Linked DNA regions of Drosophila melanogaster. The protein of the gene in region 1 interacts with the protein of each later gene in a pairwise test. Each region holds a gene or a part of one and is shown on either strand. Other genes may lie near its edges.

Region 1 (10,771 bases):
GGCAGATGAAGAAGCACGTGATACCCATCAGGCTGCCAAGCGCCTTAAGAACGAAATGTACGCCGAGGATGATAACTCATCCACAATGCTCGACGTGGGCGACTCCACCAGATATGAGAGTAGCCACGAGGAGGGCAAATTGAAGTCCGGCGATGGTGGGCTCAAGAAGAAAAAGAAGAAGGAGAAGAAGAAGCATAAGCACAAACACAAGCATAGGCACAGCAAGGACAAGGACAAGGACAAGGACAAGGAGCGAAAGGATAAGGACAAGCGTGACCCGCATATATCACGCCTGCAGGCGCGCGAGACAGCCACTCCGGACACTCTCAGCTCGGAGGACAGTAGCAACAGCAATAGCCTGCCGCCCATGAACCTTAACTAAGTGAGGGTTCTTGCAGGTGGGGAAACTGCAATGTTTGGGGGATAGATGACAGAATAAAGGTATAATACCTTAGACATTACATTTCTTAAAGGGGTTAACATTATTTGTTAGTTTTATTCATATGTTTATTTGTCGGTTTATAATTTAACATTAAGGAAGTGTGCTGAAACATTTTTACAATACTTACAAACTAGACAAGGACATTTTAACTAAAACAGGACATGGGTTTACTGCACCTTCGCCTTCGCAGACTCCGCCTCCGGAGCTGCCGCCTTGGGCTCGCTGCCCGCCACGGCGGTATCCTGCTCATCACGCGGTCTCCTCTTCTGCAACGCATGGACATGGGCCAGGGCATGGGGATGGGATTGACCCTCGATGGGTTGCAAATACGTGATACTACCGCCGCCGATGCCTGTGGCCGTTTGCTGATGCAGCTCTCCGGCGGAAGGAGTGGACAGGATCTTGACCGACGGCTCCGAGGGAGCGGCCAGCGATCTGTGTTGCTGATGTGCAGCCAATTGCCGCGTGGCCAGGCGCATGATGTGAGCGTAGTCTACAGGCGGGTGATTGCGGTACTCCGGATGATCCTTAACGTACTGCTCATACGGAACGGGAACTGGCACGGGCACTGCCTTCACTGGATATCCCGCGTCCACAAGAGCTTGGAATTCGGCCTGGGTCAGTGGCTTGCCATTGGGAGGCGGCAGATTCAATTGCTTCACTTCATCCAGAGTCCGTAGCTTCTGAATAGGAGCTGTAGTGGGTGTGGGCCGGGATGGTGTGGCAATTCCAGTTCCCTGGGACACATAGATACTGGACTGCGATGGAGACGGTGAGGGATATTCAGCGTGCAGCGGCAGAGCAGTGGGTGTCACGGCTAGATTTCTCTGGGAATGCTTTAGCGGATCCGGCGGACTGGGATAGAAGTTGGATGGCGGCGGTGGAGATGGCGATCCCTGACGTTCATAATCGGCATAGAGCAATGCCTTAGCGGGTGAAGCCAGCTTGTAGTGCTTGGATCGGTGGTACTGCTTGGGAATGGGACTCGGCTTGGGTGCCCCGGTGGGCGTAGCCTCCTGGTAGTAATACTGCGAGGGTTGCGGCTGATTGGCCTGCTGTGTGGGATAGACGACGGGTCCCAGTCGCTTGGGTTCCGGCGTGGGATAAATTGGCGTCGGTTGCTGATAGTTGCTGAACTTGAAGAGCGATGGAACGAACGGTTGGTTATTGGCATCCAGCAGGGAGTTGGGCGTACTGGCCAGGTATGCCTTGGGTTGCCTCAGCGCGGGATGCGAGGTGGGTGGTGGTGGGTGCTGCGGAGCGGGCTGCCTTGTCGCCACCTGCTCATTGCTGCTGTCAACGTAGGCCAACGATTGTCCTGGCTTATTGGCTGCCAGCAATTTCTCAATCTCACTTTCCAGAGAAGATTTCGCCAGTGGATGGTTGGGCAGGGTCTTGTAGCTTATCTGTGGCTGGTAGTAGGCAATCTGGGGTGGCAGTCCATGGATGAGTTGCTGCCCGGGATGCGGTATCGGTTTGTGGAGCTGCACCCGCTGCGGTTGTTGCTGTTGTTGCTCATCATCCTCTTGGATTTGCTGCGCCTGTGGCAAGGGCAGATATTTGGGACCACCGCGGGGATGCGAATAAGTTGGTGTCACCAGCTCCTGCTCGGCCACAAAACGCTCGCGATAGCCGCCTAATCCTAGCGAGGGATCCGCCTGCTGCAACACTTTGTGAGTGGCAGCCGTGCTGTGGATGGGCAGTTGCTTGTGGTGCTGTTGCTGCTGCTGCTGTTGGTGTTGCTGCTGCTGCTGCTGCTGCTGTTGATGCTGCTGCTGCTGACGAAGTTGCTCATGATAGGCTCTAGCCTGCAGCTCCTCCTCCAGGATCTTAAGAAACTGCTCTTCGGGAATCACTTGGTAGGGCTTTTGGAAAGTAGGATTGATTAGTATAAGAGCTTTATAGCGTCGCATTTAGATGACCCACCTGCTGATGTTGCTGCTGCTGCTGCTGGGGATTCACCGATCGATGCTGTGGAGCAGGCAGCGGCAATGGCAGTTGATAGGGACCCTGGTACTGACGTGGACGTGGTTGCTGGAGCTGGAGCTGTTGCTGCGGCTGCGGCTGAATGGACACCGCGTATCGCTGTTCCGCCTCCTGTTCCTGCTCCTGCTCCTCCTCGGCCACCGGAGTGGATGACTTCTTGGGCGCACTGGCCGCACCCTTGCCTTGACCTGCGGCCAGCAGGGCCTTGGGCTGATGATGGCGCATTATATCTTGCAGATACACGTAGTGCTGCACCTTTCGAGATACGGATACAGATAGATGGCAAGGGAAAAAGTGAGTGGGGGCGCATAATTATGGTGGGTGTGTGAACTGCCGGCGGCCAATGTCAGCAGCCGTTTAAAGTGGAGCCGCATGACCAACACCATCACCATCATGACTTAAACATAAAAAACCGAGCGAAAAAACCGCAGCGGCAACAACTGGTTGCAGGTGCTTCAGCAGAGCAGCAAACGCTGTGAGAATGGCGTGGCATCTAAAAAAATGAGTTTATATAACACTTGTGGCAAACTTTGGCAACGCCAACGCCAAACACAACAACCACAAAGAAGCGGACTCTTCGATGTTGCAACAGCAACAACAAACACAACACTGTGCAACAAGGTTGTGTGTGGGGGTTTCCCATAAAAAACTTATACAAATATGCCATAAATATTTAGATTTATAATAAAAAGTTGAAAATAAAACGAATCAATTCCTTTGCTCTTCTTTAAATTAAAAACGAATTATTGATTGAATTTAAGCTATCTTATTCGTCATGTATGTAAATTATACACTCTTGAATTTGGTCCTTTTTTTTTAGCAGTTTTAAGCAGCTTACTATAAAATTCCATAAAAATACAGAAAGCTCCTAAATTCTTCTGGAAACCTGTTGCACAGTGTGCCATCGACTACTATACACATTATTATGGCAAATAAAGCCGCCGGCGAGTCAAGGCGCCATGAAGCGACACAAAGCTGACAGACCAAAAGTGGGGTGATTATAACATTATGTCAACTTTCTTCCCACGACAAGCGCCATTGTTTTTCCACGGTCTCCGATGTCTTGCACTATTACAAGACCCACTGAAGACAAGGCGAGGCGGGGCGGGGGGGGGGGGGGAATTGGAGAAGCCATTGCCAAGCGAATCCGTTGGATGGGTGGAAACTCAAGTTGGATGGCAGGAGGTGGAAATTATTGTGTTGACGCGTAATAAGACAAATAATAATTTTGCAATTATGCATTTGTTGCTGTCGCCGTCGCCGTCATGTCGTGACTTAGTTTTGCCAACTGCATTTATAATAAAAAAATATCATTATTATTATGATTATTACAACTTTTGCCGGCACTTTTAATTTCTATACGTTTTGCAACCAAAACATTGTCTTTGGCTAATTGCAATCGCCTTTGTCTACCATCAATTGCAAATTCGTTCCGAATATAAGCCGAGATATTGGTCAAGGTTTCTTGGCCTCGGCGAAAGGGAAAAATTTGACAAAATCCGTCTGGGATTGGGCCATTTGGCTTTCTGCCTTTTATGTTGGTCGTTTTGGGCGCCGAGATGTTTACATCCGGCATTTTGCAAAGAATCGTGTGCCTGCCGCCGATGCTAAGTCACGATCGCCCAGGTCGTCCGATGTCCAATGTCCGACCTCTGATGGCCGGGGGGCCAAGTCAAAACGCCAGACAAGAGCCGCGATGTCGATGGAACGCCCCCCGATTGGCACAAAACAAACAATTCCTCATGGCAATGGTAATCCGTCAGTTGGCCAGTCGATCAGTAGATCACCCACTCCCTCTATTGAACACCCAGGGATTACGGCTGGCAGTTTTATGGGTCAACTTGGAAAACAAGTCCTGCAGTTGCTGCAGATAGCTAATACATAAGTAGTATAACCTATAACTTATCCTAGACAATCAAAAACTATGCAATGCAGAAAGGAGAAAACCTTGGATGCATAAAGTGGACAAATTCCCAAACTCACCTCCTGACTCTGCTCGAGAAGTTGGGCGGCATGGGGTCGAGAATTGGCCGCCGCAAAGTTCCTCAACTGCGGCTCCTGGTGCGATTCGTGCTGCTGATGCTGGTGCGGTGCAATGGGGCGAATGATGAACTGATTCGGCTTGGAGCCGTAGATGGTTTCCTGACCATCCTCGGGATCATCGTTGGCGCTTGACGATGCCGCCGAGCTGCGGTGGTTGGGGTACAGAGACGTCTCCTTGGAGCTCACTTGTCGCTTGTCTTTGGTCGCCTCCGATTCCAGTGGCGTGGAGGCGGAGCTCTTGCTGTCTTCCGCTGGCTTGGCTTGGCTGCTCTTGGCCTCCGCATCCACGGCCTGGGCGCAGACGAGGCCTGTGTGGGAGGACAGGTGTAGGTGTCACTTTAGAGTTTGTATATGTGAGAAACAGCACTTATTTTGATGCACCAAAAGGTTACAGTTGTTAAAATTAAATTATTTTATGCCACTGAATGGAAGTACTGTTAAAAAAAGTTATTTATGTCCCTTAAATGTTTTATGGTGCAGCATTTAATATAATTATTTTTTAATTCTATAATTATTGAACGTTTTGTATTTAATTTGTTTTATTTCTTAGCTTGTAATAGTTTTGGGTTTGGTTTTCAAGTTACTAACTGCTTAACTCAATATATCCTTGAAATAATATCACAAATACTAAATTAAAGTAATTTATTAGGATTAAAGAATTTGAATGCTAATTCTTGATGTTATTTGGATCTCTGAAATAGCAAACTAGTATAAATATTCCAAATTTTAATTTATTTTATAATTTTAAGAAGTGTCCTGTTCATGTTTTCACTCTGTGTTTTAATCCTAATTAGTTGAGAAAGAATGTCGTAGTTTCACTGATATTAGGGGAAAAATAAATACAAAATATTTTCTAACATAAAAAAAAATGTAAAGCAATTACTCTGGTAATTTCTTAGGGAACGCAAACCCTTAAACACTTTCGGTGTCTACTCACCCAGCAAGAGTGTCAGGAGCAAGATTTGGATTCTCATTGTGTGGCGTCACTGAACCAGCAGACTAGTAATTGAATATCTGAATCTGTGCCTGGCCGTTCGCTACTTTCACAGTCACTTGGCTTATATATATTTTATTATTTCCCACTTGGTTTCGTTGTCGTTGTCGTTTTCCTTGTCAGACGTTTGGGACTACGATGGTCGCATCTGCTGCATCTGCATCGAGCATTGCCGGCTGCAACAAACTGAACCAAAAGAAGCACACAACACGATGCGATTATTACTGGCAGTTATGCAACTGAAGATTCGACACAATCTGAAACCGAATTCGCAAGCTACGAACTGTGAATTGCGAAACCGAAACTGAATCAAAGTCTTAGTGGCAATTCGTATCCCGTAATCCTTGGATTGTTTTTGGCGCGAAATTCGTAACGCTACAAATTGGATATGAAAGATGAACTGATTGCTTTACCGTCGTCTGCTTTCCTGTCTTTGGTTTTTAATTTATTTTTTTACTGGTTTTTTTTTAGTTATTTAGCCAGGAGCAAAAGCTCCGTTTCGGGGATCGGATTTAGTAGATCGCGCGCGCTGCTGCACGTTCAGCCAACGAATCTTTGGCGTTGTGCGGCCAACACTTGTATTTATAAATCCGGTGGCCAAAACAGACGAGTCTCGGCCGACAGCCGAGCTTCGATCCCCGAGTTCCGAGCTCCAGCTAAAGCCACAATGGCTATATCCAAAGACGACCTTTGCGGCTCGTCGTGCCAGCCAGGCACCAACACAAAGAGAAAGGTCTGTCTGCGATCGCCTCTTTGGCTCGATTCTGCAAATGTGCCGCCTCTACAGAGGGAAAAAGGTATTCATTAAGTGCTAATAACAAGAGGTCCTAACATCACTTTAATATCCCTCTTTCGATATAACATTTAGATATGACATTTATTTTTAATAACTTCAAGATTTTATTTCATCTAATACTTTATAGTTGGACATCATTAAGAAATACGATTGTAAAGCTTATCGGTTATGAAAATTCGGTGAAAATAATTTAAAATTTATAACCAAACGTTTCTACCTTTGCTAACGTTTTAAAGAATACTTTAATAAATATATGAATGTATAGAGTGCAATAAGTTTCTGCTCACCATCTGATTTTTAAAAGCCTACTATTTCTGGGTTAAGCAGTAAAAAACTTTGAAAATAAGCCAAGACTGTCGTTTAAATGCAGTGCTTGAAATGTCAAATATGTAAATTAATATCTGCCGCGCTCTTTCCTTTGTCAAGGTTATTTCGAAATAATCCAAATAATAGCTAACATTTAATTTGGACACCAGAATTTCGTTGAAAACTCCCCCAAAAACGGCACTGTTTTTTTCTCGGTGAACCTTCGCTTCCAGGGGGCCAATTGAACGTTGACGGCCCTGTCGGTGGCTAACCGCTAGTTAAGTTAAGGCTAATGGTACGGCCCGGGCATTTGCCTGCCGCCTGGAAGCGCCCCGAAAATGCTAACGTGACACTAAATTGGCCGTCCGCCCTCGCCGAATTGGAGACGGGGAAAACACTGACTTGATTCAGGGAGAGGGACATTACTATACATTACTATACCATACTATACTATATCTGACTGCCGGCCATGGCTATTTGGGCTGGTCGAGGCTAAAGGGCACTTTTGTTTTGGTTTTGTCTCGCGTCTTTAAACCTTTCTGTCTGCGTCTGTGTATGTGTTTGTGCAAATTGGGCGCATTACTTTTAACAAGCGTTTTCGATTCGGATGCGAGACTCCTCCATTTGCGTTTCCATTTTCATTTGCATTAGCAATGCATATTTAATATGCTCAAGCCCAGTACGAGTGCTCACACCAGCCGGCGGAAAACAAAACTCCACCCCTTGCAGCAAGTTCGCTGCCTAAGTCTTTCGTTTGACATTTGCAATTGGCAGGGCACAGTGGGTAGAAAATGTGTTCTTGATAAAAATGTATGTACGAATTTTTAATGTAATGTAAAATATGTTAAGAAACAAATAATCGAGATAATTTTTATATATTAATTTTTATACAAATTTTCAAGAATTGCTGTTTTATTTGAACACAATATAGAATAAACTTTTTGTATCCATGACCACTGGATTTCGGAGATACTTTGTAATTGTGTAAATATACTATGATTTATTGTTAGTTAATTTAAATTTAAAAGCTACTTGTGTAGATGTGTCCACTTTGTCCACTGGATCATAACTTATGCTTCATTATGTTTTTGGTTTACTTTAGTAGTGATGCAAATTTCAAGACAAACCCGCTTAGGCATCATTTTAATAATCAGAGATCTATAAAAAATTAACCGCAAATAGTGTTAGATTTATCAATGAAGTGTCAAAACTTCTCTCATTTCTAACCGTACAGAAAATGTCGAAATACCATTCAGTTTTGGCCAACTGTGCCCTTCTGTTTTTTCGACGGATTGGGAATTAACATTTCAGCGCATGCGTGGGCAGCTACAGTTAAGAGTTAGGAGTTAGGAGTTGGAGTTAGCTGCTGCTGGCAGCATCACTTATTGCGAACTCCTGACTGCGGCTGACGGACGGAGTCAAGTCGGTGGCCAATTTGGGCAATTGCGATTGCCGTGCTGGTTAATTGAGCCCGCTTACCTAATGCTATAATGCTAATGCCGGGCTATGTCCGACGATCGGGCTACGATTTTGGGCCTTTGCGTTGGTGGTGTCAAAGTTAACACGGTAGCTGTGAAATTTGGCGCTGGGGAAATCCGTGGAAATTGCCAACTGATGCAAGCCTGCCATTTCCTCATCCTTAGCAAATTGATTAGGACAGTTTGGCGGCAAAAGCTAACCAAATAAATAAGTTTATAATTAAGTGGAAGATTTGCGGGCAGCAGCAGCATTTGTTATTGTTGTTTTTTCTCTCTACTATATTTTGCGCAACTCTTGATCGAAGCCGCTCGCAGTTACTTATTATAAATTCTCCTACAGCTATCTGTTGTTGCTACTTTGTTCACATTGTCATTTGGCTGTCTGCGTGTTGCTTGTGAAATTGTTGCATTGCATGCAGCGGCAGAAGTAGCAGCAACATCACCAGACGACGATGCGATCTGCAGTGGCAACATCTTCTTTTCTTCAACTACTATTTATTATTGTATTAGTTTCTACGCTGCGGCTGTTTTTTCAGTTATATATATATTTTTTTCTATTTTTTTTTTTTTCATTTAATTTCAAGTGCTTTTTGCTGTATTTTTAGTAGATTTTTTTCCGGCTGCAGCAAGCAGAAATGCAACAGTTTCTGGTCGACTCCACTTAAATCAATGATGATCATGACGGCGTTGACGATGATGATGATGATGATGAGGCTGGCAGTTCACATTTTGGCATTTGCATTCAGCAATTCACATTCGCCGAGTATCCGAGTTTTTTTTGAGCCATACGACAGTTTTATGCTCCAAATTTTATGTGTATCAATTTATCAGACGAAGACGGAGTCAACCTTAACATTTAGTCTATGGTTTTTGATATACTCGGACTGAAAACATTTACCAAGATCTTAATTGGCAACTTTTGACGGTTTTTTTTTTTTTGTATTTTTGCTAGCGGTTTTCCACCACCGACGGTTGTTAATGAAAAGTGGTTTTACAATGAAATTGCACAATCGTGGCCAGCAATGACCTGCGAAGATAGCAAACCAAGTCGAAAGGAAAATGTATCGCCGCGTCTTGTGGCCACAATGGAAACCCAGCTCCATATGACTGGGTCTATGTTGATGGCAGTGTACTGCGAATAAATAATGTGTAATTTACCAGCGCCAAGTGACAATTAAAATGCCATTCGGCGAACTACTGTTATGCAGTAGTAACTCACTGACAAATGCCGCAAATGCTCCTACGGATGGTTAACATTTTCGGTCACTCGGAACCGAGATGGCATTACCAATATGACGATGTACAAGTTAATTGGAGTTGGTCAATAGTACTATACATAAGTCGACGTATTCTTGGCATCTTAAGACTGTTGCAGAAAAAACTCCTAAGAGTTTGTAAACTACAGTTTATGATTCCTGACGTAAAGGAAGTAAAAAGACGATGGATTTTATGACGTTTAAGTGCAATAAAATCAAATGTGTTATTATAACGAGGAACATTTAAAAATTGAGTGCATTTCGATGAGATTAAGTGCAGAAAAATAACTCATAGTCAAATTTAAGTAAATTATTTTACAAGATTTTAGCATACGTAATGCTTAATGAGAAGCTATTATTCTTCAAAAAGCTCTATTTAAGAGTATATTAACTTATTTGAAAAGTACATATGTAGACCTATAAAGTATATAAGCAGATATATTCTTGATTAAAACTTTCATGCCGTACGTACTTACTTGGTTTTCAGTAGTTATAACTCAATAATCTGATCTAGGATTATACCCGACTTCGATGACAGAAATCAAATCTCTAGCTAAGATAGCCTATCGCCATCTGACTAGGCCACAACCGAGATTTCCATCTGCAATGCTCAATTATGTTTACAAACCTGCAAACCTGCAATAGCGACCATAAACGTCACTGGCGGACAATTTATGAATCGTAAAACCCGGCCAGGCTAAAAGCGAAAAAGTGCATTCTAATTCATTTGAATACAATTAAAATCGCAGAACGAACGGTATTGCAAACGCTTGGGAAATTACTCAAGTGAAGGCCCCACATTTCGTGATCCCCAACTGGCGACAATTCGTGTCCGTCTTTGGGACAGAAAGTCCGGGATTGGCCGCCCAACTCCATTGAAGCGTGGCACCAGCACAGAAAGAAATTTAGCTTAAGCTAACTTAGCTAAATAAATATTACACAAATATTTGAAAGTAACATACTAAAATATAGGCGAATTTTAAAGTAATTTTTAAGAAAGTGCAGTAAGTGCAGTGATCTAATGACAAAATCAAATCGATCATCACCGATTTATTTGCATTTCTTGCCATGCACTGGCACGACCATCGAAATGGCTTGCTAATGAGCTGTGCTCCAGCCAAAAAGGAGCAGCCATCCGTGAATTACATGCTATGAGGATCGGATGGGGGAAACGGAATCTTTGCTTTTTGGCTGACTTTTGACTCGCATTGTATTATATGATTTGCGTTGCCTGGTTTCCTGGTTTTTAATTTCGGTTTTGCGGCCACAAGTGCTTGGCATAATCGCCGCAAATACCTGGCCTGCGTTTAATGACGGGCCTAAGCACCCATGTAGATTTTCACCGTCATTTGGACCAAAAATATATGGACTGTGGATCGCCCCAAGTCCATGCATCAGCGATAATGCTCGCTGTGATGGCGATGCAATAACTTAATGCCTTCCATTCACGCCAAGTCGGCTCCAGATTCG
Region 2 (7,059 bases), on another chromosome or scaffold:
CATGCGCTCATGATGCTCAAATCGGGCGAACTTTCGCGCAAATTTCCGGCCGGATCGTGCGGTACTGTACCTCCTCGAGAAGCGCGCACGCCGAAAGAAACGGAAGCGCGTGTCCTCCTCCTCCTCGTCGTACTCCGGCGCAGACACGGAATCCTCGTCCGTTTCGCGCAGAAATTCCTTCGGATCCCGATGAATCTTAAAGATCTTGGTGGCCGTCGCCCCGTTTAACTTCGATATGGTGCGCGAGGCATTGAGTATTCCACTGGAATTCGAAATGGAATTGCTGCGGTTCTTAATAGCCGTCAGCCGGTTTGTGATGGACACCACGTTGAATAACTTTGACAGCTCCGAGTCGACGCAGCGCGATTCGCGACGCAGGTTCTTGCCATTCTTTACGTAGATGAAGTGGTTCAAGGGGCTCTGGCTCAAACTTTGGCTATCCAAGGGATGGCTTCCAGCGGAGCAGGTGGGCGAGATGGAGACGGATACGGAGTTGCTGCTGCCGCCGCACCCGCTGGTCAGCAGAGTGGGCGTGGAGGGCGGCGCTGGCGGTGGCACATGCGGCATTGTGTAGCAACGCTGGCGGCCCGAGCTCAATGAGGAACCCCCGCCCGCCGGCCCGTCGTACAGGTTGGTCACGTTGTAGCGGCTCAGGCGGCACAGCGACGTGGACTCCGGTTCCAGTTCCGCCTCCGGGTCGTGGCTGGTGGGCATGTCCATGGCCTGTGCATGTGTGTGCGTGGTTTTTGGCCAGGTTTTTCGAGTGGGTGGAGTGTGGCGAGCGGCGAGTGGAGAGCGAAGAGCAAAGTGGTGTCGTGTGTGGTGCGACGGGGCGAAAAGAAAGGGCGTTGCAGCAGCCACTGGATTAAACCTATTCATTTATCTGCGGACGCAGTGCATCCACTTACCTGCAGCAAGCCTTCGACCTCCATGTACTGGCTGTCGGTGGTGAGACGGTGTGTTTTGTGCATCAGTTGTTGATATCAGGTATATTGATTAGGAAATATATAAATAAAGACTGTCATCGATATTTGCTTCCACCTATCGGGCTGTTGTACTTCGATATCAGCAGGCTTTATTTATGTTAGACAATCGGGACCCACGGCACGTCGATAATTGGATACTTGGCGATATCGGTATTTCGGCGGCGCCACTTTCTTAACACATTTTTCAAACAAACTTTTTTCGAAAGCACACACAAAATACACGAGATATTGTTAGTTAATTTCAGACCGTTCCGTCCGACCTCGAAACTGCAACTGTATAAAATTAAAATTACTTTGACACAATGACTAATGATGTAGCATAATTTATTTAAATATCATCAAAAATGTAACAAGATGTAATCACACAACATCTGACTTCTGATTGGGATATTATTAGTAGAAAGTAAATCCAGTTAGATTTTAAGTCTGATTGTAGCCACTTGAAATTATTATACATAACGTCTAGAAGGGCTGAGACATTTAATTATATTGAAATAAAGAAACCAGTTTTAATATCATTTAATGTTGTATTTTTATATGGCATATTGTAATATTCATTTCATTCGGTGGAGCATTTATTAAATACGTGAGCTTTGTAGAGCTTGGCTAATTGCATTTTTTCTTATATTATATCAACTTTTGTTTAAAAAAATGATTCCCTGTAAAAATGTTGTCCCATCCACCCCATAAAATAAAAACAATTACGCAGTTTTCCGTTTCTGAGTTTAATGGTTGTTTTCTAGTTTCAGTCTTTAGTTTTACAGTTTTATATTTTTAGCAGTTCCACGCAACCACTTGTGGTCTTCCATAGGCCCCCACTCTGGGTTTCTGTGTGGGAATAGCGGGCCAAACTATTGCTGTGCTTGTGGCCAAGATTCCAGTTGATGGCGCACGGTGCAAGTCTGGTCAGCCGGGTCAGTTGGCTGGTCGCGCCTATGTCATCTGCACAAGCGGCCGGTTTTGCTTGGTGTGGGGGCGGGGAATGACTGTGCCGGCTGGAGGAGCACGGCAGTGACGCGTTCCAGCCCCTGACGTTTGTGTGTTTTGGGTTATATACTGGCGTGCCGAAGCCTGTCGCGAAATCGCTTGGGTCGAATGTTAAACAGCCCTAGGCCCGTGATCTCGAAGAGACAGTTTTGGCGTGCCAACCGCACGGATGGCGAATCGTTAGCCATCGTAGTGCTATGTGGGTTCGAATTGTTTTGACAAAAGTCAAAAAATTTGTTGGTTTTTTAAATCTCCGAAGAAATTTAGGTTTTGCCCGGCTCACGCCCACTGTAGCTCCACTCGCACGGGGGACATCGCGAAGGGTTGCGACACCGGAAACCGGAAGCAGCCGAAGCCGCTACCGGAAACGGGTGGCGCCCACCTTCAGGGCCGTCGAAATCCTCCTGCAAAAGGATCTAAGTGGGCATTCACCGGGCGGGGGGTTTTTTGCTAGCTTCACAAAGGACCAGGATCAGACGAAAAATCAGCAAATATATGGTTACAATAGCGATGATTGCCATGTCTCTCAACACAGTGATCATATCTTTTGATAGCCAAATAATCGCTTTTTCTCCGCTGACCGGCACAAAGTGGAGCCGGCGGTTGTGAGAATCAACGGTTGTGCGGGGCGGCTGGAGATCAGGCAACATCCATTTCAGACTCGCAATGTCAAAACATAAGATTCGAAGAAAATGGAGCTCCATGCCGAGGCACTTCACCCGCCATTTGGTTCGAATATCATATTCCTCCATTGCGAATAACCGATCTTACGGACGAAATGCCAGATCCTCAGCCGCCCCGCCCGATGATTCTCGAAATCTAGTTTCTAGTTGCAAATAAAGGTTCAATGTTGCAATAAAAATTATTGCTTTCCAAAAGCTGGCGTTCTGTGCCAAAGTAGCCGCAAGTCGGCGTGAAATTATATGAAAATAGAGCCGTTTTCGAGGCATTGCGAATAGCAATACAAACAGCGTGGATTTGTGGATTTCAGAAGCTAGTCGAGGCTTACCGGCACGCCGATTGCCAGTGAGTATGAAGAGTATGAAGAGATGTGGCTGCTGTTGCTGCTGTTGATGTGGCTGCTCCCCATCTCCAGCTCTCCGGTTGTTGGGCTCTCTCTGACGTCGATCGGCTGGCGAGGCTACGAAAAGTTCTGTTTGGGTGGGCGGCAGCAGCGATGAGGTCATCAATGACGTTGGCTGCTGCCTGTTGGTATTTGATGTTCTTTTTGTCGCCTACTCCTCGTGCTGCTCCTCCTGCCGATCCTTCTGGCGCTTACGGCAGTTGTCGAAGGTGTGCCCCCGGAAACTGCAGTAGGTGCAGCGGGTGGTGCGCTTGGAGCCACGGGTGTTCTTTGCTGTGGCAAGCTGTTCCTCGTCCTCCTGGTTGTTGTGCTCGATGATGCGGCCCTGTTCCAGGAGATCCTTGAAGGTATGGACACTGTGGCGGGAGATGTGCTTGCGGTACTTGATGTTCAGCAGACCGAACAGAAGATCCAGTTCCGTTTCCTCGTCGTGGCGACCGCTGGGCAGCTGGGCCAGCAGCGCTCGCTTCTGGATGACGAAGGTGTCAATGGGGTCATGGTCGTCCTGCTTGTTTTGGAAGAATTCCATGTAGATCTGGTAGGCGGGCTTGGTGGGCGAGAAGTGTTCGCGGATGAGAGCGATGGCTTCCTTCCACGTGGTGGCCTCCTTGCGGACGCCTTGCCACCAGGTGCTGGCCATACCGTAGAACAGCAGCGAGATGCCCTTCAGGGCGTTCTCGTCGCTGATACCTTCTACATCCTTGTATGTCTCGATGTTGCCGATGAACTCCTCGACCACGTCGTGGTCGCGGGTTCCGCCGAAGCTGTGTGTGCAAGCGGAGAAGTTGCCTTTGCCTCTGCTGGCGTCTGCTCCTCCGGCTGCTGCTGCACTTCCGGCGGCGCCCACGGCGGCCGCTCTTACAGCTTCGATCAGCTCGCGGAGCTGCTCGTTGGTCATCTGTGTAAGCTGGGCCATTTTCGCTGCTGTGTGAGGTTAGGTGATCAAATTAATCTTGGTTCAGTCGGCGGACAAAGCCAGTGTAGCGAATGCGGCCGGTGATTTGAACTGAACAGCTCTCCCACATTGCAGCCCTTTTATATCCGCCTGTTGTGAAATCGAACTTCGAAAAAGCTTGAGGCATTGGGGAGAGCCAATAAGAGAGGGAAGGTCTATGTTTTTGGTATTATTGCTCAGAGTGAATCATCACGAAACGGGTGGCGCCCACCTTCAGGGCCGTCGAAATCCTCCTGCAAAAGGATCTAAGTGGGCATTCACCGGGCGGGGGGTTTTTTGCTAGCTTCACAAAGGACCAGGATCAGACGAAAAATCAGCAAATATATGGTTACAATAGCGATGATTGCCATGTCTCTCAACACAGTGATCATATCTTTTGATAGCCAAATAATCGCTTTTTCTCCGCTGACCGGCACAAAGTGGAGCCGGCGGTTGTGAGAATCAACGGTTGTGCGGGGCGGCTGGAGATCAGGCAACATCCATTTCAGACTCGCAATGTCAAAACATAAGATTCGAAGAAAATGGAGCTCCATGCCGAGGCACTTCACCCGCCATTTGGTTCGAATATCATATTCCTCCATTGCGAATAACCGATCTTACGGACGAAATGCCAGATCCTCAGCCGCCCCGCCCGATGATTCTCGAAATCTAGTTTCTAGTTGCAAATAAAGGTTCAATGTTGCAATAAAAATTATTGCTTTCCAAAAGCTGGCGTTCTGTGCCAAAGTAGCCGCAAGTCGGCGTGAAATTATATGAAAATAGAGCCGTTTTCGAGGCATTGCGAATAGCAATACAAACAGCGTGGATTTGTGGATTTCAGAAGCTAGTCGAGGCTTACCGGCACGCCGATTGCCAGTGAGTATGAAGAGTATGAAGAGATGTGGCTGCTGTTGCTGCTGTTGATGTGGCTGCTCCCCATCTCCAGCTCTCCGGTTGTTGGGCTCTCTCTGACGTCGATCGGCTGGCGAGGCTACGAAAAGTTCTGTTTGGGTGGGCGGCAGCAGCGATGAGGTCATCAATGACGTTGGCTGCTGCCTGTTGGTATTTGATGTTCTTTTTGTCGCCTACTCCTCGTGCTGCTCCTCCTGCCGATCCTTCTGGCGCTTACGGCAGTTGTCGAAGGTGTGCCCCCGGAAACTGCAGTAGGTGCAGCGGGTGGTGCGCTTGGAGCCACGGGTGTTCTTTGCTGTGGCAAGCTGTTCCTCGTCCTCCTGGTTGTTGTGCTCGATGATGCGGCCCTGTTCCAGGAGATCCTTGAAGGTATGGACACTGTGGCGGGAGATGTGCTTGCGGTACTTGATGTTCAGCAGACCGAACAGAAGATCCAGTTCCGTTTCCTCGTCGTGGCGACCGCTGGGCAGCTGGGCCAGCAGCGCTCGCTTCTGGATGACGAAGGTGTCAATGGGGTCATGGTCGTCCTGCTTGTTTTGGAAGAAGTCCATGTAGATCTGGTAGGCGGGCTTGGTGGGCGAGAAGTGTTCGCGGATGAGAGCGATGGCTTCCTTCCACGTGGTGGCCTCCTTGCGGAGGAACCGCCACAAACTGTGCTCTCCAATTATTCAAAAATGTTGAAGAGAGAGAGAGTGTTGGATATTTTTCGAAACTCGAAAAAGCTTTTACTTACGGAGAAAGAGAGAGGGAGGAGAGCAATGTGGCTTTTCATTTCACAACAAGCGAAATTGCCAGTTGCCCCCCAACCGTCTAACGATTGGGGCTTGAAATCGGAATTGAGCTGGTCTATTTCGGGCGCTTGTTTACTCATTTTTTAAACCCAAACAAACCCAAGAAACCGGCAACAAAATGACGCAGATGTCCGACGAACAGTTTCGCATATTCATAGAAACCATTAAATCGCTGGGGCCAATCAAAGAGGAACCGCCATCCAAGGGTAGCTTTAGCAACTGCACGGTGAGATTCAGTGGCCAGCGGGATCACGATGCCGTGGACGAGTTCATCAATGCCGTGGAGACGTATAAAGAGGTGGAGGGCATCAGCGACAAGGATGCGCTAAAGGGTTTGCCGCTGCTCTTCAAGAGCATTGCCGTGGTGTGGTGGAAGGGTGTGCGCCGGGATGCCAAGACCTGGTCGGATGCCCTGCAGCTGCTGCGCGATCACTTCTCGCCCACTAAACCTTCCTACCAGATATACATGGAGATCTTCGAGACGAAGCAGTCCTACGACGAAGTGATCGACTCATTCATCTGCAAGCAGCGAGCGCTCCTAGCCAAGTTGCCGGAGGGACGACACGACGAGGAGACGGAGCTGGACTTCATCTACGGGCTGATGCAGCCCAAGTACCGGGAGAGCATACCCCGACACGAGGTCAAAACCTTCCGGGAGCTACTCGATCGGGGGCGAACTGTGGAGCGCACAAGGCACTGAAGTTAGTTAAGTTAGTGGTATAAAATTCTAGGCCAATAAACACAGATTGCACTAAATAAATCTCTTAAGCGCCTTTATTGGGCAGATTTTAAATAACTTAATAACTACATGTATAAACCATTTATTTTTTCATTTATAAGCTTTAAGATATGATTCATTCAATGATAAGTATCAGCATATACAAATAAATAAATATACGATGATATATGATAATAAGAAGAAACTGACTGAAAATAGGAGTAAAAGAAATAAAAAAGAACACACACAAAAACTTTTATTTAAATCTAGAACGATTTAAATAATTCACATGGAACCAAAACGCGGTTGTGTGAACGGTGTATAATTAAACAGCTGGTTCAGCAAAGCATCGATATCAACAAAAAACATCGAAAATTATGGGCACGGTACATCGATTCTCGATACATCGATGTATTCTTACATCCCTAGCCTGACTGAGGTGCGTTGAGTTTCCAGTAATATCGTGCAAATAACGTGGGATTGTGCGTTTTGCCGACCGCGAAATGGGGAAAAGTATCGCCGGCGCAGGCGACATACGCAAACACCAGGCGGCACTTTTCCGCCAGCCGAAGATGCTTCTTAGATCGCATTTCATGCTCTTTCAGGTTGCAGGAATCTTCTGGCGTCCCCCTTCTCGTCCTTTCGAA

What was found. Proteins that work in one complex are often made in the same cells at the same time.
Region 2: the proteins of CG34382 (region 1) and Arc1 interact in a two-hybrid assay, tested with the Drosophila melanogaster proteins (one large-scale study listed by BioGRID).

The regions. Positions count from the first base shown.
Region 1 is NT_037436.4:9,874,214-9,884,984, reverse strand, and holds CG34382 (uncharacterized protein), read right to left. Parts: upstream 6,001-10,771; 5' UTR 5,879-6,000; exon of another isoform or gene 5,652-5,878; 5' UTR 5,446-5,651; coding exon 5,409-5,445; intron 4,780-5,408; coding exon 4,412-4,779; intron 2,684-4,411; coding exon 2,369-2,683; intron 2,308-2,368; coding exon 610-2,307; 3' UTR 492-609; downstream 1-491. Other genes in the region: Taf2 (TBP-associated factor 2), read left to right, coding at 1-382.
Region 2 is NT_033778.4:14,356,228-14,363,286, forward strand, and holds Arc1 (Activity-regulated cytoskeleton associated protein 1), read right to left. Parts: upstream 4,071-7,059; 5' UTR 3,974-4,070; coding exon 3,209-3,973; 3' UTR 1,700-3,208; downstream 1-1,699. Other genes in the region: CG8617 (uncharacterized protein), read right to left, coding at 1-723, 909-971; Arc2 (Activity-regulated cytoskeleton associated protein 2), read left to right, coding at 5,813-6,394.